Oreochromis niloticus: one gene and its partner. The protein of the gene in region 2 interacts with the protein of the main gene of each other region in a pairwise test. Links are inferred from orthologs where the notes say so. Each region holds a gene or a part of one and is shown on either strand. Other genes may lie near its edges. The genes, in order: ttbk2a and klhl12.

The links.
Region 1: the proteins of klhl12 (region 2) and ttbk2a interact in binary tests that used the Homo sapiens proteins (3 or more experiments, as listed by UniProt). The two-hybrid records come from large-scale screens. The link is inferred for Oreochromis niloticus from reciprocal best matches to the Homo sapiens genes KLHL12 and TTBK2.

The regions. Positions count from the first base shown.
Region 1 is NC_031983.2:19,231,057-19,246,964, reverse strand, and holds the start of ttbk2a (tau-tubulin kinase 2), read right to left. Parts: upstream 5,999-15,908; 5' UTR 5,649-5,998; intron 887-5,648; 5' UTR 794-886; coding exon 725-793; intron 1-724. Other genes in the region: tmem62 (transmembrane protein 62), read left to right, coding at 9,910-9,947, 10,069-10,309, 10,606-10,717, 10,864-11,001, 11,414-11,459, 11,842-11,983, 12,207-12,331, 12,636-12,758 and 6 more.
Region 2 is NC_031984.2:10,037,419-10,052,646, reverse strand, and holds the start of klhl12 (kelch-like protein 12), read right to left. Parts: upstream 5,893-15,228; 5' UTR 5,618-5,892; exon of another isoform or gene 5,525-5,617; 5' UTR 5,473-5,524; coding exon 5,415-5,472; intron 3,466-5,414; coding exon 3,239-3,465; intron 3,066-3,238; coding exon 2,912-3,065; intron 1,781-2,911; coding exon 1,563-1,780; intron 321-1,562; coding exon 171-320; intron 56-170; coding exon 1-55. Other genes in the region: ptpn1 (tyrosine-protein phosphatase non-receptor type 1), read left to right, coding at 6,404-6,460, 8,702-8,792, 11,653-11,753. UniProt on the Homo sapiens protein: Substrate-specific adapter of a BCR (BTB-CUL3-RBX1) E3 ubiquitin ligase complex that acts as a negative regulator of Wnt signaling pathway and ER-Golgi transport.

The DNA of each region.
Region 1 (15,908 bases), on a different chromosome or scaffold from region 2:
CACATAATGAGAGGTTGTTGTTGTTTTTTTATTTAACTTTAAAAAAATGATTCTGATTAAAACTGCTGGCAAATGTGAAATTTTCTTCCTGGTTAACCAGCAGGAATTTATATGACTCAGTTTATAGTTCACCTATACTTCTGCATAGCATCGTCCTTATTTCATTCTTTTAGCTGCTTCTCAACTACCAATAGTATTCAAGCTCATCTTGTATCTCAACTACTACAGCTTTAATTTCCCCTAAGCTCCGATGTGCCCTTCACTGTCCTCCATGCTCGCACAGAGTTTTCTGTCGCACTTGGAGCTAAAGTTGTGGGATTAGCTGCAGCATTCTTATGTAACTCCTTAGATGACAGGAAGTGGAGCCAGTTAGGAATAACAGCCTCACACGGAGCCCAGGCTGGCACAGCAGTGAGAGACATGGGCCTTTGGGGAGCACTGCTGCTGCTGCCTATAGCACAATGAACTGCCACAAATAGCTATACAGGCTATTTTTGGATCACCCGTACTGCAGCAGCAGAACCTGGACAGAGAGACATGACCCCAAACTGTCGAATACACAGGTGAGACACTTAAAAAGAGAGCGGTGGCGCTCATAGGCAGAGCAAGCATTGTTTGAGGAACAAAGAAATCCTGTTTGTGGAACAGAGGGTGACCTCGGGACAGGCAGTGATGGGGCTGCACAAACACGAAGCCTATTGTAGCTGGAAAACACGGCACTTACCACTTTCCATCGTTCCTTGACCAGGGAGAGCACGCTCAAGATGTCAGTTTGCTCTGCTCCCCCACTCATCCCGTCGGCAAATCTAGGGACGCTGCCCTCACTGCTTCCCCCACGACCAGCAGCCTCACACTGGGCCGAGCATTTGGGATCTGATGGAGAACCCTACGGAAGTCCAAGAGAGAAACAAAGCAGTCAGAAGCGGAAGAAGGAAATCAGCTGTAATCTGGTTACATTTGACCAAGCTGCACTTGAGCATCTCAGGCTAACATCCAGCAGGTTTTACAGCATTAAAATCACTACAGAAAGCATGCATGCCGCTCAGTTGAGAGACCAACTGCTGCCTCAATAGCTGGAGCTTTCTGATACGTGACCATTGCAGCAGCTGCCACACCTGCTGCCAGCAGCTGTCCTTCTAGACAAGCTCACCCAACAAACTCACAGGCAAAACTATTACATTACAAAGAGGTTTCATCATCTTAGTATCATTTTCCCTCTTCTGTGTATGAAAGCCAAGCGGCAGGCCTTATGAGTGTATTATCAGATGTAATGAGTCGGTTTAATTTGCTTAATTTAAATCGACTCAGTAGTGAACTGATTAAAACCAAACCACACAAAAATTCCCATTTTTATAAATAACTGAATTTTCACAAAGCACCAACTATTCTTATAAGTTACATATTCATTCATTTTATTTTGTAAGACAGTTTTAAGTTTATTTTTAATTCCAGACAACAGAAATATGCATATCTGCAGTCATTATTTCTATTCTGTTCATTTATATCACGAGAAATTGAATGATTAAAAAAACAAAATCAAATGACAAACCAAAAATGTGTAGGTTGAAGCTACAGCTTACATAATACCTACGCCTGACACCAAAGAAAGAAAAATCAGCATCAACTGGGAAATTGGATGAAGATAAAAGAAAGAAAAGATGGACCATTCATGTCAAATCCAGCTGTAGATGAACTCTTTTTATCGCATTTATCACAATACTGAATCATTCTGTAGTAATTCTAACTTACAGTTCATATTAAATAAAGTTAGTTGTGTCAGTATTACTACATATATACATGGTAATCATTTGTTAATAAAACATTTTTGGACTAGATGTCTGAAAAGCAGCATGCTGGAGGATAAACACGTTCCAGAGGAGCCAAATTGGCTTCTAATGCATTAATAGAAAAATTATTAATAAACTTAATAATAATTTATAGAATCTCTATAAAATACAACCTGTTAAAAAGTGTTGCTGATCATTTAATTAGGCTGACATGATGTGGCACAAACTCCTTTAGCACACATCAACTTTCAAATGGAATTTCCTTTTGAAAAACCGAGTCCGTGTTCCTGCATTATACAACATCCGTGTCGCAGATAAACATTCCTCCGGAGAGCACTCGCTAGATACTTCCTTTAGTCCGCCTTCAAACACTCACTCACAGCAAGCCCGACTTTGATTCATCATTCTGTACACGGCGCCCGAGCATCTACGGTTACGCAACGAGCCTTCAAAACACTATTTGGTTACAGGGCATGATCCCGACATCAAGGAGGCAATCAATCCCATCATGCAGCATGCTAGTGAGGCTTGGAAGAGGGAGAAGTGTGGTTAGAGCAGATAACAGTGAAGTGATGAGCATGAAATGTGACCCAAGGTTAAGGCTCAGGAGTAAGGTGGCCTTTGTTGAAGCTACACAGATCCAACGACACAACTGGACCAAACAAATCCCTTTTAATGACTCGCAATTACTGTAATGGACTTACATTACACTAACAGTACATTCTATTTTAAAATGTTTACCTTCACGGGACAAAAGGGGCTTGATTATGATCCCAGCTGTATATTTATATATGCTTCCTACTATGAATGTGTCTACATCTCCTACAGCTTTTCAGTTTTTTTGTTTTACATGAATTGGTCCATTGGTGTAGCGAGGATAATAAGCTAATTTATGCTTTATTTATAAGCGGTTAAACATATCAAACATGTAACAAATGGCATGCATAGAGCATGGGTAGAGCTCAACAAAATACACGACAAACCAAATATCTTCATAATGGAAAAACTTCACTGAAATCAAGACACGTGCGATAATTCGAAATCAACAATGACTTACTAAATGTCGTAAAAACAGCACAGCAAATATCAGATGACATTAAAGTGGTTGTGTGTTTTGGCCAGTGCAGCACAATGAAGCGGCTTTGAGTGATCAGACTTGTGACAATGCAGGGTTGGAAAGTTGTGTGCGGTCATTCATAACACTGCAAATATTCAGTATATATGCTCTGATTTAGTTTAAAATGCCCACTAATCTCTACATTGTACTGTTTTGCTATGAACTAGGATGTAGCACAATTTACTGCTGAAGAAGCCTTGAGGCTAACCCTAATCCTAATCGTAATCTTTACCTTTTATTGTGTAAAAATGACTGAAAACCATATTTAATGATATTAAAACATTTTAGAATCCCGAATTATACTAGAGTATGCTCTACAGCTATGCCACTCATTCTGTTGTCAGCAGGCTTGGAATAACAGAGATCACGGTCATCATTTCACATGCTAGAATTTTCCAATTACTATACTAAACACAGCAGAGTGAGTGCTGACATTCATTCACCATTAGTTCTTTTAAGCATTGGGTCATTCACTCTTCTTCTTCTTCTTCTTTCAGCTGCTCCCTTGACTGCTCGCCACAGTGAATCTTCTGCCTCCATCTCACCCATAATCCCTAACATCCTCTTCCGTCACACCTACCCTCTGCGTGTCCTCTGTCACTACATCCATGAAGCTGCTCTGTGATGTTTCTCTTTTCCGTCTCCCTGGCACCTGCATCGACATCCTTTGCCCAGAATCTATCCCTCCTCTGCACATGTCAGCCTTGCCTCTCTAACTTTATCTACAAACTGTTCAACCTGAGCTCTCCCTCTGATGTACTCATATTTAATCTTGTTCATTTTGGTCACTCCCATTTAAAATCTTACCATTTTCAGTTCTGACAGCTCCAGCTTGGCTTCCTGTCTTTTTGGTAGTGCCACCAACTCCAAACCATATGTTATAGCAGGTCTCATTACCATCTTGTAAACCTTTCATTTTCACTCTACTGTCACAAATCGCCTCTGACTCTCCACCCACTCCACACTGCCTTGCACTCTCTTCTTCACTCTCCATTGCTTTGAAAGATTGAGATTTAAAATCAGCCACCTTCACTACCTCCGCTCCCCCCAGCTTCACTGTTACACCAGTCTCTCTCTAACTCCTCTTCTCTCCTGAGCATACCTCCTGAATCTTTTGTCCTGCTTTGGTTCAAGAGAATCGAAAGTGAATAAAAAGATGAAATCAATCTATTTTTAATCCACACTGGCTAAACTTCTATACAAGTATTTTTCTTGGTAAATTAGAGATGAACACAGTAAGTCTTTGAGCCAACTGTGAATTCTCAACGTTGAGCTAATTGCTGCTTATGCAAAATCACAGAGCATGCCATCAAACGTGCTCCACAAAAATGCTCATATCCTCAAGGGATGAGCAACTTTCTCTGTGATTGAATAACTAGTGCTCTGAGTGAGAACTTCAAGGTCACAGCATGTTCCAGTGCTTTCCTTCAGGACATTTTTCCACAGGGTCACACCTGGGTATCACAGCAGATAATTTGCTTAAAATTAGTCAGAAGTTGGAGGTTGTTATTTCATACAAATAGGGTGTGGGGAAAGAAAGTTTTAAATAGTGGCTTCATCTGAGGCCATCTTTGACTCACAAAGACACCAGCATTCATTCAAACATAAGCTTGTACACATATTGCACAAATCAACACATCTGCACAAGCCAGCCAGGCTGCCTCACACTGTGACTAATCTAACGCCTTACAGAGGGGGCACGGTTCTGCTCCTCCTCCTCCATACCAGACACGGCCAATGACGAGAGAGAAAACAACAAGCCCACCAGAAGCAGCCTTTGGACCCCAAAATTAAAAGCCAAGTATGACAGCCAGCTCCTGCCTCATAATGCATCAAGCTTCCTGACCCCAGCATCTCCATGGCGACGATGGTGCAGTGCCATTTTCATTTGCTGACTGCAGCTGGTCATCGCCTCTGCCCTTTAGGTCTGCTGGAAGCTGCAAGTTTACAGCTAGAAAAAGCATCATGAAATGTCAATGAGTGATTCTGCCGCAGAGTAGCTCCTCCTTGAGAGTGAATATGAATGTGATTTGATGGTGAATATTCACAAAAGCAACAACAAATCAAGCCTGACCCTGAAAGCTTGCTATGCATACATGCGTATAAGCCTGGATCCAACGAGAATATCTTCTGCCTAATCCAAGAGTGGCCTGGTTCAGTGGTAGGACGGAGAGACTGCTGCTGGATGAAAATTAATGTCTGGACTGACTTCTCTCCAGAACTATGGGTTCTATCAAGAGAAGACTGGGAAGCAGGGAAGGATGGGACCAGAAAGTGTGTTTATATAGGGAATCAAAGATGCATTCACGTAAAGAGCTACAGTTGCCTCCAGTGCATCTTTTTCATCATTATTAGTGCATACCACAGTGACCAAGCAAATACAATCAGGCCTTCTGTATCGTATTCAACGGGATGTGTCGATAACAAGCTACAGCCGAGTCCCAGCAAAGGTGTAACGCCGCTCTGCAAAATGAAACCCCCTCTCTTGCCTGCATTGACTGACCCCGGCTTTGCTGTGGAGAGCTGTTGCATAGCGATTTGGTTGCCACAGCAGATTTACTCAGGCGCGTCCACGCACATTGGCCATCCGCAGGCCACGCAAGCCCATCCTGCCTGACTGTAAGCTCTGACAACATGCAGGTTAACAAACCGAACGCATGTACGCAGCTGCCGCCGACAAACATGGGGGTGTTAAGAGTGGTGGGGAAAAAAAAGAGGAGGCACTGAATCATCTGGATCCTTACCTCGGGTCTGAGCTGCCAGCCCTTGATCCAAAGACGAGCCGGGTGTGGTTACGAAAAATCCTTTTGGTTTGGGGGCGGCGGGGACGACAACGAGCGGAATCCCATAGCGAGCGAAGCGTCCATAGGCGGAGGTGGTGGTGGTGTTGTCGGTGACTGGAAATAAAATAAAAGAGCGAATGGAGGAGGGAAGGAAATATGTCTGAGTGTGATCGTCCGTTTTCTCCTTCTGCCTGTCACCTCAGCATCTTTATCTGTCGCTGCGGATCCGTGACGTGACAACTCTGTGATGATCAGCAGCCTTCCTGCGCGCGCGGCCCCGATTCGATCGCCCCTCGCAACAGCTCGGCCACGCGCGCGAGGGGGCCCTCTTTAAAGCTCGTCTCCGCGGTTTAGCATTGCGCGCACGCGCAGTACACAGTCACCGCGTCTGCGTTTGTTTTCCCAGCCCAAAGAGTATGCGGAGTGTCATCATATATGGACGTACAAAGGAGATATGAGAAAATGATGTTAGAGGATAATATGAAGGATACAATCGGTTTGGTTTGGAACGCGGCCACAAAAGGCCGTTTTTTATCAATAACACTAGGGGGCGGCATTAACCAAAAGATGCCATTGCAATACAAACAACAACACTCAGTGATGAAAAGTGCATTTTACAATACAAAACATACGATACACGGTTTTTATTTAAGTGGAACAGAAAAAAAGTGCGACAGCAAAGATATTGTCAAAAAATGTTACATTTACATGTAGTGAATAAGTGATTTTCTTGTAGTTCAATCTAAAGAAAGGAAAGATGATCTAGTAAAACAATTGTAATGGAGTTGGGTAAAAAAGTTTCCTCAAAACTGCTTACAGTCATGTGAAATAGAAAGTTTAAACAGGACTGCATAGAGTCCTGTGAAAAGTACACACAAAATGCTTCTAATTAAGAGGGTAAGTAATAGCAAGGTGTTGCTAATCAAATGATCATCAGCAAGTGTGAGCATCTCTATAAAAGCAGAGGTTTTGGCAGTTTGCTGGTCTGCAGGATTCAGATGTGTGTTAATACAATGCTACACAGTGCGATATAGGGGAAGTTGCAAAAAAATCCACCTTCTCTAGCCTCTTCTCTCTAAGCAGCACAGGTTGGGTATGCAAAATTGCATTTAAACAAACCACACGAATTCTGGAACAATGTCGTTTAGAAAGATGAGGCCAAAGTGGACATGTGTGGCCATAATGCACAAAACCAAACACAGCAAAGCAACACTTCATACTAACTATGAAGCACGACCGTGAAAGCATTATGATATGGGCTTGGTTTTCGGCCACAGGACCTGGGCACCAAGACCCTAAGGCCACCCACAAATCTAAAACTGAATAGGTGGAAAAGAATCAAAGTGTTGCAATTTCCCAGTCAAAGGGCAGTCTTCAACTTGATTTAAATGCTTTAGTGGATCTTAAAAGAGCTAAACATATACAAGGGCCTGCAAACCTCAATGAACAGAGGCAACATTGTAAAGAAAAAGTGGGCCAAAACTCCTCTGCATCAATGGGAGAGACTGATGAAGTCATACAGAAGTTATTGCTGCTACGATTTATACAAGATATTCAATCATGGGGTGTACTTAGTTTTCACAAGACTTCATAAAGTCCTGTGAAATGCTATATTTTGTATTTTATTTTATTTTTACATGACTGTAAGTGTGGTACCTTAGTATATAAATATTTTGTCTGAACAGGTGTACACATTCAGCACCTTCCCATTTTCAGTGTATACTGAAGGTGTTCAATTACATCCACTGAATAGACTTAAAATGTCTAAAGCCTGCAGTTATAGTACAGTTAAAAAGTGCAGTACTTCATTTTGAATTGTTATAAAGCAGCATACAAGTAGAAATGCAATGCAGCACAAGACATATAAATAATGAAAATTTAATGTCAGTAAAGTACTGGAGTAGAGTTAGATTACATCACAGTTTCTAAATCTTTACTTTTACACATATATATTGCATATTACAATAATAACATACTAAAAATGAAAATACTAAAAATACAACCCTAAGAAAATGTGGTTTGTAAAAAGACTATCCCATTTTATCTGCATAAAGATAAAATATCCAGTGAAAAGATATGTAAGATTACTGTAATATAGCTCCATCTGCAGAAAAAACTGCAAGATTGCAATGCAGTTATTTCTGTTTGATTCTATCTAGCACGCTGTGTGCACACTGCACCATATTTTTCTTGCACCAATACAGTGCATTGCTGTGGAACAATTGTTATACAGTGTATATTCAGCACAGCTGAAGATTTAATTTGTTTGGAAACGGAGTCTTAATAATTTCCTGTTTTGCACCGCTTTGATTCAATTACATTCGAGATTAGTCATTGGTATCATACAATGCACTGTAACTGAACAGCAGTTTTACTGGGTTTATTCCAATGATTACTTTGACTTACTTTCTTTTAATGTGTGCTCTCATTCATTTTATTTTTGTTATTTATTCTCTCTTTTCTGTCAGGGGATCAAAGAATTCTCAGTATTTTTTAAAGCCTTTAAGCTCTTTGTCACACTACTTTTGAGAATTTAGCCCGCACAAAAGTGCTGTGGCACATCAGATAAACATCAGCCACAGCCATAAGTATCCTCCTATTTGCAGATATCTGGGTCAACATACGATTGCAGGACATTTTCTGTCCCAGCCATAATTTGAAAATAATGAATTCATAAATACTAAGGTATGCATTTGCTGTGTAAATACACCATTCCTGAGGCAAAATGTAAACGTATTGTTGGTTTGAAAAATATTATTTAAAAATACAAAATGGCCTTTGAGAACCTCTGAGAAATGGCATTTTTCTCTTCTCCCAACTTCTTGAGCCAAACTGTATGTCAAATATATGAAATATAATATATTATATAAAATAAGTTATGAATTCATTTTTTCTGTTTTGATTTTGTTGAAAGATCTCATTTAGAAATGTCAAACCATTTACTATCAGCATTTTTTTTTTTAAAAAAAGGAAACCATTCACAACATATGTGCAACCCAGTTACCAAAACCTATTTAGCCTGGAGGAGTAAGAGACAAAAACAGGGAGACGACCTGACAAAGAAGAAGTGACATGGTTGAGTCATGTGCTAGCACCATGGGTTGACCAAAGGTCAGTCCTCTTTGACATATTTTGTCTTTTTCCAGTGAAGACTGAGTGTGTCACTCTAACTGCAAACCCATTGCACATGTTATCAAAAGAAGACAAACTCATTTCAGAGTTTCTGTCCTTTTATTTACATAACTACATCCTTGACTTTCACAGATCATTAAATTCCACGGATAATATCTTTTACTGATAAAACACTAATATTAGTGCTGATTAGCAACCCTGTTATCATATAAAATTAACATAAGAAATGCATATTAAAAACATACAAAATATTATTATATTAACAACAGTTTTGTGGCCCTGAGTATTTATTTGTCACAAATATGTCATAATCTACAAATAAAAGGATATATCCATTCAGCCGAGTCATTTTTTTGCAACCCTGTTACCATGTCACGATTGATAAAATGATCAGAAATGTTTTTATTACCTCACAAGGGTTGGATCTATTGCCTTTGTAACATTTTGAATTATTATATAATTGGTGTATTTGAGCAAAGATGTGAAAATAAATACTTAAAAATGCTAAAAAAAAAAAAAAAAAAAAAAAAAAAGTATCTTTGATGCTTGAGATGGAATTTTTTTTTTGACAGAACCCCTCCCCCAGAAAAAGACAGAAAAAATGTCAAATAAAGGGTCCTTTCCTTTTTTCTGTCTTTAAAATAAATTTATTAATCTATTCATCTATCTATTTATTCATTTATTCATCTTTCAAATATCAGCCAGGTCATGTCAAGCGTTTCCAGTTCCGTATATCAAATGGCAGAATTAAAAACTGTACGAAAGCTTTAATTATTTCCTTTTTTTTTAAACGGTTTTGGGGAATAAATGATTATAAAAACCCGAAGTTGACAAGTGCTTTGGTGTTCCCGAAACTCCTCGCGATGGCAGGTGTGTTATCATTACGGAGCTCTGAAAAACAATGTCAGAGTGGGAGCTCTGTCTGTCATAACGCTGCCTCGTCATTGTTGGTGACGTTCCCCCTTCCACCCGGTCAGAGCTGTGTGTTGGTAGCTGGTAGGCAGGAAGCTAACTGCTGGCTAACCTGCCGTGCTACCTCCTCCGCCTCCGAAGGCAGCTGAACGGAGCCGTGAATGAACCACGCACTTCAATGCATCCCGTGTGGCCGCGATGGCAGCGACAGAAACGGTCTGAGCCTTAGCTCTTAGCCATGTAGCTCAGTTGTCTGTTATATCTGTAGTTAATGTTAGTGTGATTCGTGCCCTTAGCTGTTTCCACCAGTAGCTAGCTTTTTTTCTGTCCGGGATAGACGGCGGCAGCTAGCCCCCCTTTCTCGCCACTACAGGAGGATGCTGAAGCTGTTTGGTGCACTGGTTATCCTCGGACTGGCCCTGGCGTGCATCACCTCCTGGGTGCTGGACAGCTATGACACGGCTTGGCACCCTAAACGGAGCGTTCACCACCCGACTGTCGGTGATGGAGCTGAATCTAAGGGGAGTTCTCCACCATTTCCCGGCGAACACTTGAACAATATATTCTGGTTTGTACAGGTGGGCTGTTATTCCGTCTGTAGGGATTATTTACATCTAGTGTGTATACAATACAGGCGTTTGACTTTGTGTTAAGGTTAAACTCTCTGAATGATTGACAGAAAGGGGTCAGTGTCCACAGAAGTGCTCCGATGTTGGGTGAAAAGGTGTTTCAACACAGAAACACAGCAACTTTGAGCCAGACTTTGCACTCTTGTTCTATAGCCTTTATACCACAAGAGCTGAAAATGTCACAGAGCCCCATTTAAAATATTTGCCTTTACCCCTCACCTCCATTTGTGTGTGTGTAATTCAAGGTGTCCGATATTCACATTAGTCGATTTCATGACCCAAGGCGCATCCCAGACTTTGAAAAGTTCTGCACCGACACCATTGAGGTGATCAAACCAGCTCTTGTGCTTGCAACAGGTACAGTGATCTCTATCTGGTTCCTGTTAAATTCTTTGCATATAATATGACTGAATGGGTGTGGCTCAAGATCATGCAGTGCCAGACTCATGCAATCAGATGACAGTTTGCTTACAGAGATTCTCCCCTTTTTTCCTTTACCCCAGGGGATCTGACGGATGCTAAAACAGAGAGTAAGGTGGGATCCCTCCAGCACGAGGTGGAGTGGCAGGCGTACCACAACATCCTAAAGAGGTCACGTGTAATGGAGCGCACCAAGTGGATTGACATCCGCGGAAATCACGGTGATTAACCATGGCACTTTTTTCAAAAATTACTATGGTTTCTCAAGGCTCACTGATTCAGCCGAAACATCTTTAGTGTGCTGAGTGTACAGCTAAGATTTTCCGAAGCATCCCACAGGAAGTGGTTCTACCCCTCCTCTTCCCTTCCTCTGTGACTGGATGTGAAACAAGATACCCTGAATTTGTAACTGTCAAAAAAAAGGCAAAGCTGTTCATTGGATCTGCAGTGGCTCTGACAGCTATTCTGCTGCTGATCACAGCTGCTGATGTGTTTCCCGGATGTTTATCTGTGGGTCCTTTAGTAAAGGGAGATTTTTCTTTGTTACAATACAGTACAAGAATAGTTCATCGGTCACCTCCCTTACAGCTTCTACACTGCTTAATCTCACAGTTATTTCATTTTTCCTCACAGATGCTTTCAACATTATTTCACTGGACAGCATCACCAATTATTACAGGTTAGTACAAAGTACCAGTAAATGGCCAGTAAAGTCCCTTACTGCAATTCACAGCAACAAGAGAAAGCTGATTGGAGTATCCTGTGGCATTTGACGCCCATAAACCAGTATAGTTGCAGACTTGTTTTCCATTAATAGTTCAGCTATCTGAACATCCTGACGACAAAAATAGAAGCAGGACCTACACACTGTTTTTTTTGTTTTTGTTTTTTTTTTTCATGTTTTATGTGACATTGCTGATGCTTCTGTTAGCGCTGGCTGGTCTTTAATCTTCCCGATATTCTTTAAAGATCGCATTTATTTATTTATTTTTAAAAAAATCTGTATTATGCTGTACAGTAGCTTGATGCTCATGTTTAAGGTTTCTCAATTTTTATTCTAGGAAATACTCAGCCAATCAGAAAGTAGGCTCTTTCCACTACGTTCACACGACCCCCTTTGGCAACTACTCCTTTGTCTGTGTGGATGCCACCCTGACTCCAGGCCCCAAGAGGCCGTACAATTTCTTTGGTATTCTCAACCAGGTGAGTTTGTGCAACACCTCTTCATGAACAATTCTGAGATCTTTAGAAAGCGGCGAGTTTTTGAAGGACTACATTCCTCTGTTAGAAAATGTGGTCCAGCAAATGGTAAACAGGAAAGAAAATGGTAAACGCACAGTGTTTTAGTTTCTGAGTAGCAATAACTAAAGTATCTGCTTAGCTGTCTGTTTTCATAAACATGAAGTTTTTTTGTCATATCTGACAGACTCAAATGGACTTGCTGGACACGTTCAGAGCTGAGAGTCTGAAAAGCAACCAGTCGATCTGGTTTGGCCACTACACCACCTCCACCATCGTCTCTCCTTCTTCAGGAGTACGAGACATGATGAGGCAAGAACAATCCCCAATTTTGAATCTTCTTTTTTTTTTTTCTTCCTATTTTTATTTTAAGGGTGAGCTGAGGAAATGAAACATTTTTTCCATCACGTCATGGTGCAAACATTCAGCAACCTCCTCCTTTTGGCTGCAAGCTAAAATTGTGTCTCAGTCTTAGAATGATAAAAAACAAATGTAAGAAGCATTTTGACTGTCTGCTTGTTTCAAATTCATGCTGTGGAGTAAAGTACATATTCAACTGCCTCTGTTTGCAGACACTTAACAAGTCTAACTAAAATTTCTACGTTTTTGTGTTAAGATCTGCAGTTGCATATCTGTGCGGCCATCTGCACACTCTGGGTGGCCTCATGCCTGTGCTCCACAGCCGGCATCCCCAAGGCACTCTGGAGCTGGAGCTGGGTGACTGGATGGACAATCGCAGGTGTTTATAGTCACTACGTGTTTCAACATTTTCTTACTTGTATTTCTGTTTCTGTCGTATTATCGCCCATATTTTTCTAACATCTTTCTACAGGTACAGGGTTCTGGCCTTTGACCATGACCTGCTGAGTTTCTCTGATCTGAGGTTTGAGCAGTGGCCTGCAGTGCTCATCACAAACCCCAAGGATGCACAATATCTGCACCCAGGGGTGGAGCCACTGGGTCGGATACGAAGGTCGACGCACATCAGGTGTTTTGTCTATGCGTTGAATTTTCTGTTTTCTTTTGTTCCAGTGCAAATGAATTTCAATTTCTAATATTTAAGAATTCATTTTCTTTTCTTTTCTGAAGGATCTTGGCCTTCTCAGAGGCCCCAATCACTGCGGTGCATGTGAGTGTAGATGGGGAACCTCTGGGGAAAGGTCACTCTGCTGGAGGCCCCCTTTATGTTCTGCTATGGGATCCGTCTCTTTACCTCACAGGACTGCACACAATCAGAGTTAAAGTGGAGGTCGGTGCAACATTCATTTATCTTCCACTTTATTGTGTTCTGAGACTTTTGAATATTTCATGGGTCTTTTATTAGATTAAGAAGATTTGTTTTCCTTTGTTGAATTATGAATAGCTGTATTAGATTTGCTGTCTGGGAATTGTAGCTAGAAAACACCCACTGGTGGCTATGGGGGTTTGTTGTACTCTCGTACTTTTAAAAAAATGCTCCTACCTTTCTCTAAAAACTAAGAACTTCTTGTCTTTCTATGTGTGCATGTGAGTCAGGACGCGGCAGGCCGGTCATCAGTGCGGGAGCAGCACTTTACTCTGGAGGGCGATCTGACTCCTACCTTCGGCTTCGTGCAGTCTTTCATCCTCCTCACAGATCACTACATCCTGGGCCGGGTGGCCTTTATAATCACGATGCTGCTGAATATTGGTGTTCTCATGGCCTTCAGGTTTATGCCTGTTCTCTCGGGCAGAGGTGAGCTGTCTCTGACTAACCTTCAGATAAATAGATCATCATAATGTAACAGACTGTTCAGGTTCAGTCGCACTGAACTTGAGACACAGACAGGGTTCTCAATAAGGATTCAATGTCAGCTTTTAAAATGCACACTATAAGAAGTCTCTCTGCACTGTGCGCAATCATAGATGTTTGGTATTTCATTATGTCTACAGGATTGACCTCTCAAGTGTGTATGTCACTCCGCTTGGTCAGTAAAATAGACACTTTCTACTACTCTCTGCTGCTGTTCAACCTGTGCACGGCCTTAGGTGAGTTTAATGCTGTGCCTTATTCCCATTTAACTTTTTCCGTCCTCTTTGTCCAAAAATATATTTTATCTGCCATCCTACACTGTATCTATCATGTATAATAAACAATAGAGTTGTTTGTGGTTGCCAGATTTGAAGCTTGTACAAAGCAGTGTACAAATAACATCTGGTTTGCTTTACAAGATTACCCAGTAATCTCTCCTATGTTGCTGTAATCCATTCCTCTCTTCCTTCAGGCCCGTGGTTCATAGGAGAGCTGATTGATGGCCACAGTGGGGCCTGCTTCGCCTTTGGAGTGTTCATTGATGGACATTTTCTAGAGGGCAGTCTCACCTATGTGGTTGGAGTTGTTCAAGTAAGAACATTGAATTTTTTTCCCCCCTTGTTTTGGACACATTAGCCTCTCTGTGATTCTGTACATACGTGTCATATGTCCAGCTGTAGACTGTAACTGAACATATTTGCTTTAAATTTAAATTAATTTTGTTTTCAGCAACTCTTAGGAAATGTGAACTTCCTGCCCAGCACCGACTGTTGGATAGGAAAAACTAATAGCTTGTGAACACTGTGGGACCCTTAAAGGTGGAAAGCTTTCTCAGGACGTGGAAAAATAAATCAGTGACATGGAAATGAAGGGAGCATTTCAGAAGTTCTCCTAAAATACTTATTAATAATAATAATAATAATAATAATAATAATAATAATAATAATAATAATAATAATAATAATGATAATGATGATCATGATTCCTGAAAACAAACTCTTTAGGATGGAAAAAAATCGCTGGTTAGGTCATGTTGCCACAAACTGGATCAAAGGTCAGACATAATTGGGCAATGTCGCAAATAATGGAGTTGAAGAGAACTGAAAACTCTTTATTTAAACCGAAAGTAAATATACAGTGGCAGAATCTTTAAAAAGAAGAACATTAAACCCAAAATGAAGCTTAAATAAACTAAATAACTAAATAGAGAGAATGGTAGCTATAAGATCCTTTTTAAACAATTAGTAGAGTGACAACATATTTCCTCTAAAGACTCATCTGTTACACCCTTCATGAACCAGAAAGAGGAAGGATAAAGCATGCAGCTGGGTGGGGGAATTACAATATTCTCTCTCTAAAGCTATAAGCGATGATATAACCTGTGGGTACTGCTTCATTCATAAATGCATGTTCTGTTCACATCAACTAAACTCCTTTCCTCTCTGCCAGCTCCTCTTCTTCAACATGCCCCTCACTTCTTATCTCTGCTGGAGCCTCCACCACCGTTGCCGTGGCAACACCTTCCGATCCCACTTCCTGCGGCCGGGCTGCCGCTGGAGGACTCTGGCTGTTCACCTATTCATGCTGCTGCTCCTCACCTGGCAGGCCCATTCCTGCTACTTCCTCCTGGAGACCTATGGCCCCATGGCCTTTTTCCTGTCTCCTGTGCGCACGTGGGCGTTAGGGCTCAGCCTGCTATTGGTCTACCGCGCCTGGACAAGCCCCGCCTCTCTCATTCGTGACACAAGCAAGAGCGTCTCTCCCTCTTGACAGTAATTGCACGGTACCGCCGCTGTTTCCCCTCAAGCCTGACTCTCAGATATATTTTGCTGTCTCTATCCACGGCGCAAGCCTCAGTTTCCCCCGCAAAGCAGCCCCTTCCTTTCTTTCTTTCCTCTATCCGAAGCCACTTCACGGTACATCACTCACTATCCTGTTTCTAGATAGTGTTGTTTACTTAATATGCATGTTGTTGTAAATCACCGGTGAGCACATTTCTGGCCATATTCATAGCAATGTGTACAGTGTAAAAAAACAAACAAAAAATACCTTGGATACTATAAGGGTAAATTAGCCAATCTGAGCTATGTGACAGACTAGTCCAACGTATGCTGCTGT
Region 2 (15,228 bases):
ATTTCTTGGCTTCGTCAACAAGGTCTCGACATGGCAGGCTACACCGAATGAGAGGCTAAGACGAGTAAAAACTTGCTTAATTACGGTGTGATAAAACTTGACAGAAAAATCTTTCATAGGAGGCTTGGCATGTGATTACACAACAACCCACAAAGCGTCGCCTGGCTCACCTCAGTATCAATGACATCTGTAATGTAGCGTGGGGTCAGCAGCGGCATCCGAACAAACTCGAGCATGTCTGGCAGGTAGGGTTCCCGCTCTTTGCGGTTGTGTTTGACCCAATTTAATACGGCCTCGAATACAGGCTCCTCCGAGTCCACCTGCATACCGACAACATGTACATTAATAACACCTGACAGTAAATCTACACAACACTGAAGGATTTGCTAACAGCTGCAATTGAACGATTGCACAAGACTGATTTTTGATGCAAGCTCTTTTTCAATAAATATAATTACTTGTGGCAAGACTAGTGGCAACAATTCAAGAGATTTCTGCAACTGCAAAGACAAAATGTACAAAGGTGAAACAGCGCAGTCTGCTAAAATAAACTTCAAATCCTCAAGGATGACAGAAAACTTTAACTGAAAGCAAATTATGCATGACTATGATTTACATGTATGGTCTGGTTTTATTTTAAAAACAACAAATATGACAGGAAAGACAATTTGACAGAACTTGTGATCTATAAATCATCATGTGATAATAACTGTGTTTTCACAAAGCGGGGTATGTGGTTGGGAAACAGGAATTTCCTGAGCACAAAGCCAAACTTAAATCAGATTCACTTCTCTGCAATTTCATTGTCAGGTCAATCCACAACACTGACTGGAACTTGGGTGGTTGGGGGGAGGTCACAGACTGATTCTGTAACAGGTTTATACTTGCTTTTCATTTTTGGCGCTTAGATTGTTGACAGACATTATAGAAGCTGTGAAAGTCAAGCTCAATTTGCATTAAATCAACTATTTGTTTTAGGGATCTCAGACTGAAATTTAACTATTTCAGTAGTACTGCAGACTAACGTTATTACAATTAACTAGAACTCGACTACAAACTAAAACTAGTTGTGATAAAAGATTTTAGTTAACTGAAATAAAACTTTGTGAACTTGCAAAACTCACTAAAAACTGCAAACTGCCTGATGAGGCTTTAGTGCATTTGTAGATATATAATGTCTATGTGACTGTGAGGCAACAGCCTTCACAAAAAGTCATGTTTAAACCGTAATTCCCTAAATCTTCCCCCTGATCAATATTCTCCATATCACAAATACTAACCAAGTAAACTGAAACTACAGAAACTAAAATGAGCCACTCTGGAAACTAACTGAAAGGGAACTGAATAAAAAAAGTCAAAATGAAATAAAAATAAAAACCAATTAGAAAATTATAAAACTATAACACTAACTTTCATGCAGACAAAAAAGTTAACAGGCAACTTTCAGGCGCTTGGAGTAACAAATTTTACATCATCCAGCAACAAAACAAAAAGCAGCATTCACAGCACATTTAAAAAGATCTTCAAAGAGAAACAAGCCTCCCTACATGCAGTTTTCCTACCTGAATTTCGTCACATTTTATTAGCTTTTCCACTTCTGTCTGGCTCAGCAGCATGAACTCCTCATGCTGAACCACCTCGGAGAAATGCTTCTGGGAGAAGAGCTCAGCGGCCTGCATCAGGTCAAGGCAGTTGTGAGTCTCTGCAAAGTCTCGAATGCCCAGACAGTTGGACGGATCGAGTTGGCTCTCCAAAAAATCACAACACGCTCTTTTCACCCCTAGGGAATACAGAGATAGGTTTGTACACACATACACCATTTGTAGCCTTAACTCTTTCGAAAACCAGCATTTAATTCTCTCTTAATTTGGAAACGCAGAAGGCATTTTAATGGAATAGTACCACTGTTTAATAAATGTTTCTTAGAAAATAGAATTTTAAATTGATGATTAAGCCTAAAAATAATTATTACATCACATTTTCTGCGGTTCCCAGCAGACTATAATAATTCTGGATGATATGATTAATTTTACAAACAGACTCATTCACACTATCTACAAAAATATATATATTTGCAACATTCGCTGTCATTTTTTTAACTTTTTTTTTAAATATAAGATTATATGGCGTCTGCTAAGATGAGCTGGATACGGTGGCCAGGGAGCGGGAAGTCTGGGCACTCCTGCTTAGACTGCTGCCCACTCATCCTGGCAGAAGATAGATGGATGCATGGATTTTCCCAGGTGCTATACAAGGTATGAATACTGAATACAACACTGCGTGATTGATTGATTACACTGCTGTAACTGAGGTTCGAATTAAGCCCTTACGTTGTTTCATGAATGGATTGAGGAATTAAAGATGATCCATTTAAATCTGTAACTGGATGAGTTTCCCAGTTACTAACGTTTGCGAAAGTGACTTATTTCAACAGGCCTGCTTACTAAAACTCCAAAATCCAACATTACAACAACCCAGTTTATTCTACCAGCTACACATAAACTGACCTAAGTCATGCTAAAACTAATACATTACTGCCTGCAAGAGGAAACAATTCAAACTTTGTAATACCTGGTAAAACGTATCTTTGAGGAAACTGAATAATACGTTTCAAGATCTGGGGTTACAGTCATGAAAAGATGGCTTAGGCAAACTCTTTAATCATTATGTTTATTTTCTTTCATCATAACATTGCACTTTAATTAACATGAACACTGTAAATATGCCACATTTACCCATACACACTAATTCTTATCAGCAGACCGTGGTAAACAGACATAATTATATTATGTTATATTAACATGTTAAACAAAGTTATAAAAGCTCAAAACACAGAAGCTTCTGAAGACAATGTCAAAACCAGAGACAATTATTAGAAACTTTTTAACTCAAGGTACAGCTCTGAACTTACCTTTGAGCTGTAGCAAACACGCTGCAGGGAGCAGCTCTTGTACGTTCTCCACCGTGACGAGCACAGTCTCTGTGTAGACAAAGTCCAACAAGATCTCCATAGTGGATGCCGTGAGCCCCTGAATGTCGACAAAAGATTTCCCCTTTTCTGCAAGCTACAGAGCCACAACAACACATTTATTTGAAGGATTACTTTTGAGAATCATCCTGCATTTTAGGCAAATGTAACACCACCTTAAAACACCCAGAAAGGCCAACAAAGAAAAAAACAGAATAAAAGAGTGCATCAGGAATGTAACTGGGGCATCTATTTTTCAAACATTATTACCTCGCTAGTGAACATGGCACAAAAATAGTCACTGCAGGCAGCCAAGACGATTCGGTGAGCTGGAAAATCAGTGTTCTCCACCCTCAGAGTGATGTCGCAGAGTGTGTTGCTCTTGCGAAGTGAGTTCATTGCATTGAGGATGGATTTGGCATGGGAATTGGTCATGATGTCTTTGGGAGCCATGCTGCTTTGAGAATCCCTTACGGATCTCAAACTACTAAATGAATCTGGAAAAAAGACAGTCTATTTTGAAAACATCCTTTGGGAAGAAAGGTATTCCACAGTAAGCATAAAAGCACGCCACAATGTCACATTTTTATATACTGTACAAGCAAGTCATGCAGCTAGTGAGTGTGTGTGTCTGTCAGTAATTTGTCAGTTGGGTTGAACTGCTGGCTATTCACAAGATAAGTTTGTGACACTTTGTGGGAAATGATAACAGATTTTTGTCACTATTTTACACCCTTTTTACAACATTTTGTAAAAAAAAAAAAAAAACCCAAACCCCTCCCCCCCCAAAACCTAACTGCTAATGAAAATGTACATGAAAAAAACCCCACTTTATATTAACTTTTACATTATATAATACTTACTTTGTATATATATAATTTGTATTGTGTATTATTTCTACATTTTTTTCTTGGCAAGGACAAGAAATAGCATAATTTATTCTGCTTACAGGACAGCAATGGAGAGAAAATACTGACTATCATAGAAGCACTATAGTATTTATAGTGCTGTATTTGCTCGACTTCTTGATTTATTTCTTGCAAACAATGACTTGACTTATTAAGGGGGAAAAAAGCTATCCAATCCTACCTGGCCCTGTGTAAAAACAGAATTGTTACCCTTGTTAAATCATGAATTAACTCCAATTAACCACATTTTTGGAAATCAGAGTTCAATTACACTTGCCACACTTTGGTCTGATTACTACCACACCTACTGAATCAAGAAATCACAAGAATAGAACCTGCCTGACAAAGTAAAGTAGCCCAAAAGTGCTCAAAAACCAACATATCATGCCATGATCAAAACAGATGAGAACCAAAGTCACTGACGTCCATTTCTAAGGCTTTGGGACTCCAGTGAACCACAGTGAGAGCCACTAACCACAAATGAAGAAAAAATTGGAACAGTGGTGAACATTCACCAGAGTGGCCAGCCTACCAAAATTACTCCAAAAGCCCATCGATGACTGATCCAGGAGGCCTTAGGCATGTCTCACATTTGCCAAAGAACATCTAAATAAACCCCAGAACTTTTGAAAAAAAAAATACTCTGAGGACTAAAGTTGAACCTTTGAAAGGTTTGTGTCCTGTTACATCTGATGTAAGACTAACACAGCATTTCACAAAAAGAACATCATGCCAACAGTGAAACACGGTGGTGGTAGTGTGATGGTCTAGGGCTTCTTGCTGTAATTCATGGAACAATGAATTCTGCTCTCTACCAGAAAATCCTGAAGAACAATGTGAAGTCATCAGTTTGTCCCATGGAGCTCAAGCATAACTTGGTGCATAACATGAGTTATGCAGCAGGATCTGAAACACATTAACAAGTCTGCCTCTTAACGGCTCAAAAAAATAAGATTTTGGACCGGCCTAGTCAAATTTTAGACTGAAACCAGATTAAGATGCTTTGGCATGACCTTAAACTGGCCACTCATACTTGAAAACCTTCTAATGTGGCTGTATTAAAATCATTCTGCAAAGAAGAGTGGGTCAGATTTTCTCCACATGTGAAAGACTCATTCCCAGTTATCACAAAGACTTGACTGCGGTTCATCCTTCCAAGGGTGGTATAACAAGTTATCAAGGTTGTAGAGGGCAATTACTTTTGTCCACACAGGGCCGGGTAGGTATGAATATCTTTACTCCCTGAATAAATTAAATCATCATTTAAAAACTGCATTTTGTATTAACTGAGATTACATTTGCCTAATTTTAAAAGTTCTTTGAAGATTTCAAAAATGAAAAAAATAACAACTCAGAAATGGGGGAAATACTTTTCTCATCACTCTACTTCTTGTAGAAAGGTTTAAATGATCAGTTATTTCTATGAATAAATGCAGCATATTTAATAATGCTAGTCAAATAAATATGTGTTTTTTTTCCTTTCCAGACTTTACATTTTTGGAACATTTTTCCACTACAGTCTTGCAAATAAAACTTACCGTTAAAAGATCTGAATACTTTTTCCACCACTGGGAGGCAATAACTATAGCTACACATTAGCTAGCAGCAGCCAACGACAGCTGACGGCTAACGCCAACGCTAACAATAACAACTACGAAAACACAGCAATATAAAGTGAGCTGACGGCCAGAGGAAGACAACACATGGAGCGACACACACACAAAACAACTTATAATAATACCTGTCGCAGCAGTAAAAACGTCTAGCTAAGTTGCTCAGCTAGCTAACGTTAGTAGCACCAAAGTCCCCCTGTCCCAGTTCTTTGCTCCCAGTCGCACTGCCTAAACAAAGCCCCTCAACTACAGCTACTCCATGACGACCTCTGCCGGGTCACTCTATGCACGGCCACCGTGAGGACACATATATCGGAACGGCATCATATTAAATCCCGATGGGATTTTTATCCAGCTATAATATCCCGTTGACTAAACTGCAGCAGCAGAGCAGCGACTCCACAGATTGGACGTAAACAGACCATTACGTGAGTGTACGTGCGCGTCCCCCGAGGAGACCGCCCAGACGCGTTTCGCTCCAGAAACAAGATGCCTTCCGCGCATGCCCGCTGGTCGGCCTCAACTGCTGCTGTAGGAATAGTAAAATAGCCGTCTCACTCAAACTAAGTGACAAATCCGGATTTGACGGGGGCTTATAAACCCAAAGTGACACACAGAGAAACGCAGGAGGAATTTTATCTCTTAAAAAAAAAAAAAAATTCTGCTCTCTTTTTTTTGGTCACCCAAGGACGGCAGCTACAGCAGCAGGAGGAGGAGTTAGCGGCGTGTTTCCGCTAAGAGCAGGCCGAGACGGTAATCTATGCAGCCGCACTGAGAATTACAAAACAGCGGCAGACCAGTTGGCAGCTACTGCGAATAGTTTGACTGAAATTTGTTTAATCTTCGGGGACTTTTGGTTGTTCGTATCGGGAGGCTAAACAACGAGAGAGTGAGTGGCAGCTGGACTGTCAGCGATGGAAGCTGAATTTCGGGAAATCGATGAAAACGGCAGCTGGAACGCCATTTATCAGGTAAGAGCTCTTGGCAAATTAAGGTGGAAATAATCAGACCGTAGCTGAAGCTGGTTAGGCCAACGTGTAGCTTATGTAAGGTGAGGTGGTAGCTATAGTTTCTCTGGCTATATCAGTGTGTTGGTGTTTAGTTCAGCGCCTGTTCTTCCTGCTCGGAGTTAACCGATGATTGATGCGTCTGCCCGGGTATAAAGGCAGCAGCTCAACGCTGACTGACGTCATACATTTTTTGGACGTACTAACTTATTTTTAATGATTTGTTCTCAGTTTCGTCTAACATTTCCATTCCGCTGTTAATCGGCAGCTTATTATAATTATTATAAATGTTTGTAATACATTACATAGGGGTATAACACACCTGAAACCGAGTGAAATCGCGATACAAACCTCCAAAATATCGTATCGCGGTTCTATCTCTCCCATACCATGATACACGTAAGGTGTAAAATGCCATAGGTAACAATTCAAATGGAAATGCATCACAATAATGGTAGAAATTTTCCTCTATGAAAAACTTTGCCACATTCTAAAGAAGTTTTAGCCTTTCATAAAAGAGAATTATTAATTTTTGTTGAATGGGGTTTGATTTACTCAAACTTAAATGCATTGTTAAGGGTTTTCAGTGGGGTTAATTTAGAAAAAATAAATTTCTGACAGAACAAATAACCAAAAAAAACCCCAACTGAAACCTGCTTTGAGCCAGGAATCCCCCTCTCCCCAATATACTATTGCATACAGGATTCATTAGTCTGTTATATGTGCCATACAGCTTCTATTTTAATTCTTTAAGACCATATCCTAAAACTTAAAATTAAAAGTACCCCCTGGGAATTTTTTTGTGAGCTAGCAAAAGTACTGTTCAAAACATTTACCAACACATTAAATATTTTCTGTACATTTGTGGTCTACTAAACATGTCAAAGGCATTCACTTCCTCATTTATGATATGAAGTGTACTGTTTAGTTGGGGTTTTTTTCTTTCTTTCTGCGTATAAGAAAATTTGACCTGCTACGCAAACTTCATGTAATCACCCCAAAGGCTCATTTTGAGCCAGGAAATGCTCTTAATGGAGCTAAATTGTTATTCGTAATTCAGTCTTGATCAAACGATCAGACCTGTTGTGGACTTTGGTTTTCTCCCTCGTGTCTTTGTTATTTATCCCTGCTGAAGAAAATTGAATAAACTGAAACTGTGGAACATAAGGTTATGGACTATGATTGGTCATTGAGTCAAATCTCAATCATCTCTCTATTATTTACAAACTTTACAAACATTATGCAGTGGCTGAAGTTAAAACTGTGTTGTTGTTGTTGTTTTTTCACATGGAATCTTCTTTAACTGTTACATAATTCAAATAACATAGAAAAAAACTGTTCAGTAGGCAGGGCTTTGGATTATAAAGCCAGACCAGGTGATGGTCCCTACAAGCCCATAGCTTCCATAGCGGAATGTTTGTGGGTCCAGATGGGCGAAACGCTGTAATAGAGTTCGGCCGTCTTGGGAAACCTTTAAAGCAGCCTCAGATGAACCACAGAGAACTGAAGCTGACCGCAAACTGTTCAGCATTGCCAAAAGCAGATAGGGTGACAGGCCCTAAGTGATCTAGAGTTGGAAACGGCTGCAGTCAACCATTAATAATCTTTCCACAGGTTCACCTACCTATGCCTTGAAACTTTTTGTCCCGCTGTTTAGCTCTCTTGCAGTTATATTGCCTGCAACTGAACTAAACCGCAAGTTTAAACTTTTTAGGAAGAGGTGAAAGCAAAATAGGTGGGCTTGGAACATGTATATCATGAAACAATAAAAACAATGAAAATGAATGTTGTTTCTTGTTTTCATAATTGTTGGAAGTCAGAATTGACATTTAAATTAAACTTTCATTAACCACCCTAAGAAAGCAACCAGCAAATTTCTGGTTTCAGAAATTTGATAACCCCCTCCTCATATTTTAGGGTAGTCTAAATACAAGCTTTTGACAGTGTTAGTATTGAGGCAAATATAATCCTGATTGTTATTGAGATAGCTAGAGGAAATTGTAAAAGGGTCATCAGTGAATGTCATCATTGTTTTGTTTGTTTGTTTGTCTTAAAGAATACAGCAGTCACACTCAGAGCTTTTTAATGTGGAGTGGATGTTGTTTTGTTGTTGTTGTTGTTTTTTTTAAACAAAACGAAAAAAACCCTGCAAAAACACCAAAACTCTGCTTTAATGCTTGTTTTCCTCCTTTTATTCTGTTACAGGAGATTCGGCAGCAGTCGAGTGAATTCCCTTGTAAGGTTGCCAAATCACCTGAAAACAAGAATCGGAATCGATACAGAGACGTTAGCCCGTGTAAGTTTGTCTTTGCTTGCCTCAGTGTGCTGGACCGCAGAGTCTGAAACACTTAAAATATTCCCACAACTCTCAAGGTGTTTTAGCCACTAAAATTACATTTAGGACCTCATTATATACTCGTATACTGGTTTCATTTATCTAGGGCAGATATTTTAAAATGTTTTCATGTAATTAACTAGGGTTTTCAGTGATTTTAAGCATCACAGTTATGCCAGGTTTTTATGCCAAACCTTCTGTAGAACAGATACATTACCTGAAACTTAACCTGCCTCTTAAAGCTAGCACCATGCACACAGAGGTTGGTCACAGGGATATAGTATTTGGGTAACTGTGATAGAAACATTGTCCAAATGCCCCTGAAAGTAGCAGATTTGTTTGTGTCCTGCCTGCCAGCTCTGGTTGCTCAGTTGTCAAACCGCATGTGCTTCAGGATATCTCTGAATCTTGCTCTGCATCTGTGAACTGTGGTTCATTGCAAAACATTAAAGTGAGTGAGTACAAGTGGAAAATTACAATAAAATCAAACACTGTTATGTTTTTAAAAAAAAACAACATGCTCACATTTTCACACAGCTTTCTATTATCTTTGCCACACCAAAGGGGTTATTCGTGTAAGAAACTATGAAAAGTTGTGGAATGGCAAATGTCATGTCATGTCATGTCATGATAGGAACATTTTTCTGATTCAAAATATCACAAAGGCACATATAAATATACAGCTGGGGTGATAATGCGACCTCATTTGAATACTTGAAGGTTAAGTGAATGCCACTGTGGGTCTCTTTGCTTGGTACTCTACCCGCAGTGTTGAAGGGTCTGTAATCTCCTATTTATGTTTAAACATCTGTGGTGAAGTCACAGCATTATGCAGCATTATATAAACACCTAAGCTGTCTGCTGTTTTAGTAGGTACAAGCACTGTAATATCAGTTTGAAGTCAAGTAAAGGTAGTATTGCGCAATAGAAACAGCCTTGCATGACTCTAACTGGCGTGGCATAGTATTTCCAGCTAATTTATTACTGAGTGTCTCAAAAACACCTACACAAGGGGAAGATCAGGGAAAGGGGAAATTAAGTTTTTTTTTTTTTTTTTTTTTCAGCAATGTTTTTAGTATCATCTATTTTTTTAAGCCTTGAAATAAATGGTAAAATAAAAAGCAAAAACAGAAACAAGCATTTCCTCTATTTCCTCTCTTTTTTTATCTTATAAATATATGGTTATCCATAACCACACAGCTCCTTTTTTTTGTATGTTACATAAAAAGTGAGCGTATATACTGAAGCATAATTCATTCATAAATATTAATTTAAAAAATAATCTTTTTTCTGAATTGAGGATATATCTTAAAAATCTTAAAGGAGCCACTGTTTTTTGTGAGCTTGATTTCATTAACAGTATTGGCCTCATTGGGACTTACTGGTGTCTTTGACCAATATTTTGGTACTGTTACAAGCTGTGTGCTGGATATTATGCTGTTACTTCAGGATATAAATCCGTGTATCTAAAATATATTCTTACTGGCAGTTTGGTGACCATACACAGTATAAAAGGATGCACGTGGATAAAAGCTGAATTTTGAAGCTTTAAAGTTAGTTTTGGCCACTATCATAATGTTATGATGTTTTTTGGGAGCTAGAGTTGACCTTATATGCATGAAAGGGTGAAGGGCTGAGTTTACAGGTACAGTTTTTTTTAGCAACATCAATGAACTGTTAATTAATACAGTAGCAGGAAACACTCAACAAAAAGGAGCACAAACTTTGTGACTAGTTTGTACCACACATTAGTTATTAGTCAAATGATCTCCATTAAAAAAAGCTCAGTGACTCCAGTTAGTGGAGGTGTACATCAGCTACATGTAAGTACACTTGTCAATCAACACAATGACTAAGCTAACTCAATAACTCAATTATCTAAGTGAATGAGTTTCCTCTTTTTTTTTTTTTTTTTTTTTTCTTCTCTACACCAAGTTGTAAATATATATTTTAATGCTGTAAATTTGGGCGTTTTGACAGGGGAGTCTGTTGGGAATTACTCGCTTTTAGAGTCAACCTCAAGTGTTCTCTAGAGGATCTGTAGTTTCTGCCACTTCTGTGTTTTCAGCTCCGGAAGTTTCCCTCTTGCTGGTGACTCAAAGAACACAAAGATACCAAATGATTTTTGCAATATGTATTTTTTGATCATGAATCTTTTTTGTGTTTTTTGCTTGTTTGTTTGCTTTTTTGTTTGAATTTTCTATAGCAGTTTGGCATTTAAAATACAAGGTTCATTATACTCATGTGTTCTTTTTGGGTACAAATCAGATAGCTTTGGGTCTAGTGCACTTCCTCTTGTGATAATTTTCTCACAGGTCACGCTGACCTCTTCTCAAAATCTTTCTACTGCTGGAGACTTTGCAATAACTGAAAGCCTCATGTCAGCTTCAGCAGATAGTCAGGTTGCAATGAACTTTCTACAAAACGTCCTAACAGCTGAACTACAGAGTTTCCTCTTTTTCACACTCAATAAGCCATGCAAATTTTTTTTTTTTTTCTCAGACTGGGTTGCAAATAGTTACCGTAAATACCAACAAGGGTTTTCTTATTCCCCTTTACCAGATATGAAAATCAGGAACCTGAAACTTTTTTTATACTGCTAACCTTTTACCTAAAAGGTTCTTCACTGGAAATCATAAAAAGCTAATCTCACAATAGTTAACATCTTTAGTTTGTATGAAGATGCTTGTTAAGTGTTCCCTACAGCTGTTTTGGTCTGAGAATTGCATTTCTAGTCCCTGGTGGGTTGTGGCATTTAAATTTTTTTTTTAAAAAGTTCATATGCATATTTTCATATTTCTTTTGTTTTTTCTCTTTTCAGTTGATCACAGCAGAATACATCTGCAGTTAGGTACAAATGACTACATTAATGCCAGCCTAATAACCGTAGAAGAGGCACGGAGGAACTATATCCTTACTCAGGTAAGTGTAGAAAAGATTCAGTACTGAAAATTCAATATTTCCTCTAATTCAGAGAGACAGTGACAGAAAAATCCAAACCTTTAAGTCAGTATTTTCTCATTGTATAAGATAATTTGGTTTCCTGGTTGGCCTAATGACCATAATATCTTGTATTTTATAGTTTCGCCTTATTTTATGTCCTTGTCTGCAACATTTATAAAATATGCAAAGTTATTAGTTTGTTAGGCACACAGAGCTAAAGATGAGGCCACTCTAATGCAGTAACTCAGCATGAGGTCCTCCCTTTATGAAGGTCATAATTCTTAGTTTCTGCTGACACCGTTTTTTTAAGGTTTTGATTCGGCTTTTATGATAAATTTAGAATCTTTTCGTTTGTTGTGCTTTTAAATGATGGAGGTGTTTCTTTTCATTCTACCCTCATCGTTAAAAGTCGAGGTTTATCATGTTTTTATAGCTTTCAAGTCGTCCTCAGCATCAATGAGTCGACCTTCTGGTTAGAGTGACACTGCAGGGCTCGCAAAATTTGAAAATCCCTGGTAGCCCTTCGGGCAGGGACTCTTCAGTTTGTGGTAGCCCAAAATAAATTTAAGTAGCCCGAATAAAAAAGAGAGCAATTTTTTGATTGATGTTTTGTTTCCTGTTTTGTTTCCGTTACAATATTATACATTAAAGTATAATATTGTAACGGAAACAAAACATTAATCAAAAAATTGTTGAAACACAAATTACAACATTGTATAAAAATTACAATCATCAACTCAAATACTTGGTTCTAATTGAACAGAAATTTCTATGAACTTGTAAGAACTGTGTAGAACATGAATCAGTCTGTGTCAGGTCCTGAATTTGAAATTTCCACTGAAGTCATGGGTAAGGGGTAAGTGGAACCAAGTTTGTAAAGACTGCTAAATTTTGCCAATGGTAGTTCACTCTGTGCAACATAGTACGCTGTTCTAAACAGATTTTTCAGGTTTATTTTTGGTATGTTCTTTGCAATTGGTGTTTGTTTTGGGAAAGATATTGCAGACTGAGCAATAATGCATTTCTTGCATTTCTCATGGGTTCTAATGGGGGTCTTTCTTAAAATTACTGGTCCCAGTAACAAAGGCGCTTGTCGACTCAGAAATCGAGGGAAAACCAACAACACACCCGGCAGAACATTGTTATTTATAGGGGTGCAAATAAGTGGTCCGCAGGTGCGCATTTGCTGTCAAAATAAAAGACGCGCACCAGATAAGAAGTTGCAACGCGCGTTTGCCTCCATATAAAAGGCACTGTTTTTGTCCGCTAGAGTGGGATTTTCACAGCATAGTCTGCACCACATCTCTGTGCGTTCATCATTTGTTTGAAGCCAGCTCACCTCCTGCAACCAATTTTCCGAGAATACGTGCTTCTTTTGTGGTTCAGACTCCTTCTGACATTTCTTTGGAGGTGGAGGAACACCAAAGTAATTGCTTAAAGGAGCTTGCTTCTTCGACACCTTTAAGAGTTCTAAACAAATGTCTGTCCTCCTCCAGAAAATCTTATGTACGCAAACGCGTGTTGCAACTTCTTATCTGGTGCGCGTTTTTTATTTTTGACAGCGAATGCGCACCTGCGGACCACTTATGTGCACCCCTGGTTATTTAGCTTGTCATATTCCAGCCACAGAAATTCTTTTCTCAATGAAACCATAAAGCTGCACTTTCTTTTTCCCTCATAGTCTGATTTGTCATAACTTTTCCGTTTTGTGGTAGGCTTTTTTTTTGGCTGTCACTTCTTCACCCTGACTTGTCTTATTTGGCTCAGCAGAACTAAAATATATATCCTGCTGCTTTTACACACGCACTCACATAACGGTCAGTGATTCTCTGCTCAATCAACCTCTCACATGTTTAAGCTTGCTGTGGGAGATTTCACTTTTCACGTTTGAATAGTAAGCTAATGAGTGATAAGACGACGTCAGAGGAATTGGTGCGCAATTAATCGTCACTCACCAATCAGTACTGCCGCTCTCTATACACAGTTCACGCGATCGCAAAGTGAAAGCAAAAAACAAGCTCAAATTCAAACGCGATTTCAATATGTCACATATTGACAGTGGCTCACCGATGCCAATGACATAATTACCCAGCTACATTTCCGAAAGAATGCAAAAGCATTGACATATATTTTTCCTTCCTATGATAGCCCGACGGGCAGGGCTGAGATAGATTTTGGTAGCCCGACTGAAAAATTCGCTAGCCCCGGGACGTCGGGCTAGCGATTTTGCGAGCCCTGCACTGGGAAAACACTTTGACATTAGGGCTGTTTATACTTGCTGTTATGAAGTCACAACTGCAGGCACAAGTGCTGCTTTGGTGTTCATTCAATTTGTCCTGCACCTCAGTTTGGTTTTTTTGGTTTTTTGTTTTAATCCTGGTGCTGTTTGGTTCAGCCAGGTGGACACGAATATGCCATCATGTTTGTTGTTCTGCTGCTTATGCGGCTGCTCCGGGTCAAAGAGGCAGCAATGTCAGCAGATGCTCTTCTGGGCAAAACCTGAGGTATTGCCAACCAAGGAACACAATCTCTAAAAGGTGTCCTGGTTTTGCTGGGGCTTCTCCACCCTGGAGGACCTGCCTGGAACAACTTACCTATGAGGCACCAGGCGAACTCCTGGTCAGTTGCCTGAGGAGCACTGGCTCTACCCTGATTCCCTCCTGCATAACCACTCTCTTTATACTGTCTGAGCCCAGACATCCTTTAGAGCTTTGACTTTCTGCGATCTACTACTACCCACAGCTCGTAACCATAGAGAGAGAAACAAAGCTCATTGAAGATTGATTTTTTTTTTTTTTTTTTTAAAAACCCACATAAAGCTAAATCAGTTGTCAAAAGCATTTAAAATATCTTTATTCCTGCTCGCACTGAGAAAGCAAAACTTTTAGAGCTCTTTGTGAAGCAAATATTGTCAGTTATTTAGTAACAATACCAATATATTAAGCTGGTAAATGCTCCACATGTTTCATAGTGAACAGATTGGAAATGGGCAAATGTAAAGACCCAAATTGCCCAAGTCAGAGCACAGGGCAAAGCTTGGGGATGATCCCTGCTGGTACTAATGCCGGACAGACCATGAACTGGTGACAAGGCAGAAGGGACTGAGCGGGAACTGGGATTGAACTGATCTGAAGCTGGAATCTTTGAGCTGATAATGAAGGGTAGCTTCTGAGGCTTTGGGTCAAAGCTGATTTGGCAACATTCAAAGGAGTGATCATAATGTTTCCTCTCCCAGCCGTGCAATTACAAGTGTATTACAAGACAGTTTGTATAAGCTCTGTGTATTACAAACAATGTTGTGTATTTACAAACGGCACTCAAAAATTGCGTCTATATTTCCAGCCTGTTTTTAGGAGTTTATAATGTAGATTAGATCAGTTTTTGATCCAAAGAAGTTATGCAAAGGGTAAACATACTCCAGTCTCCCTCTTTAGGAAATTTCAGGGCAAGAGTG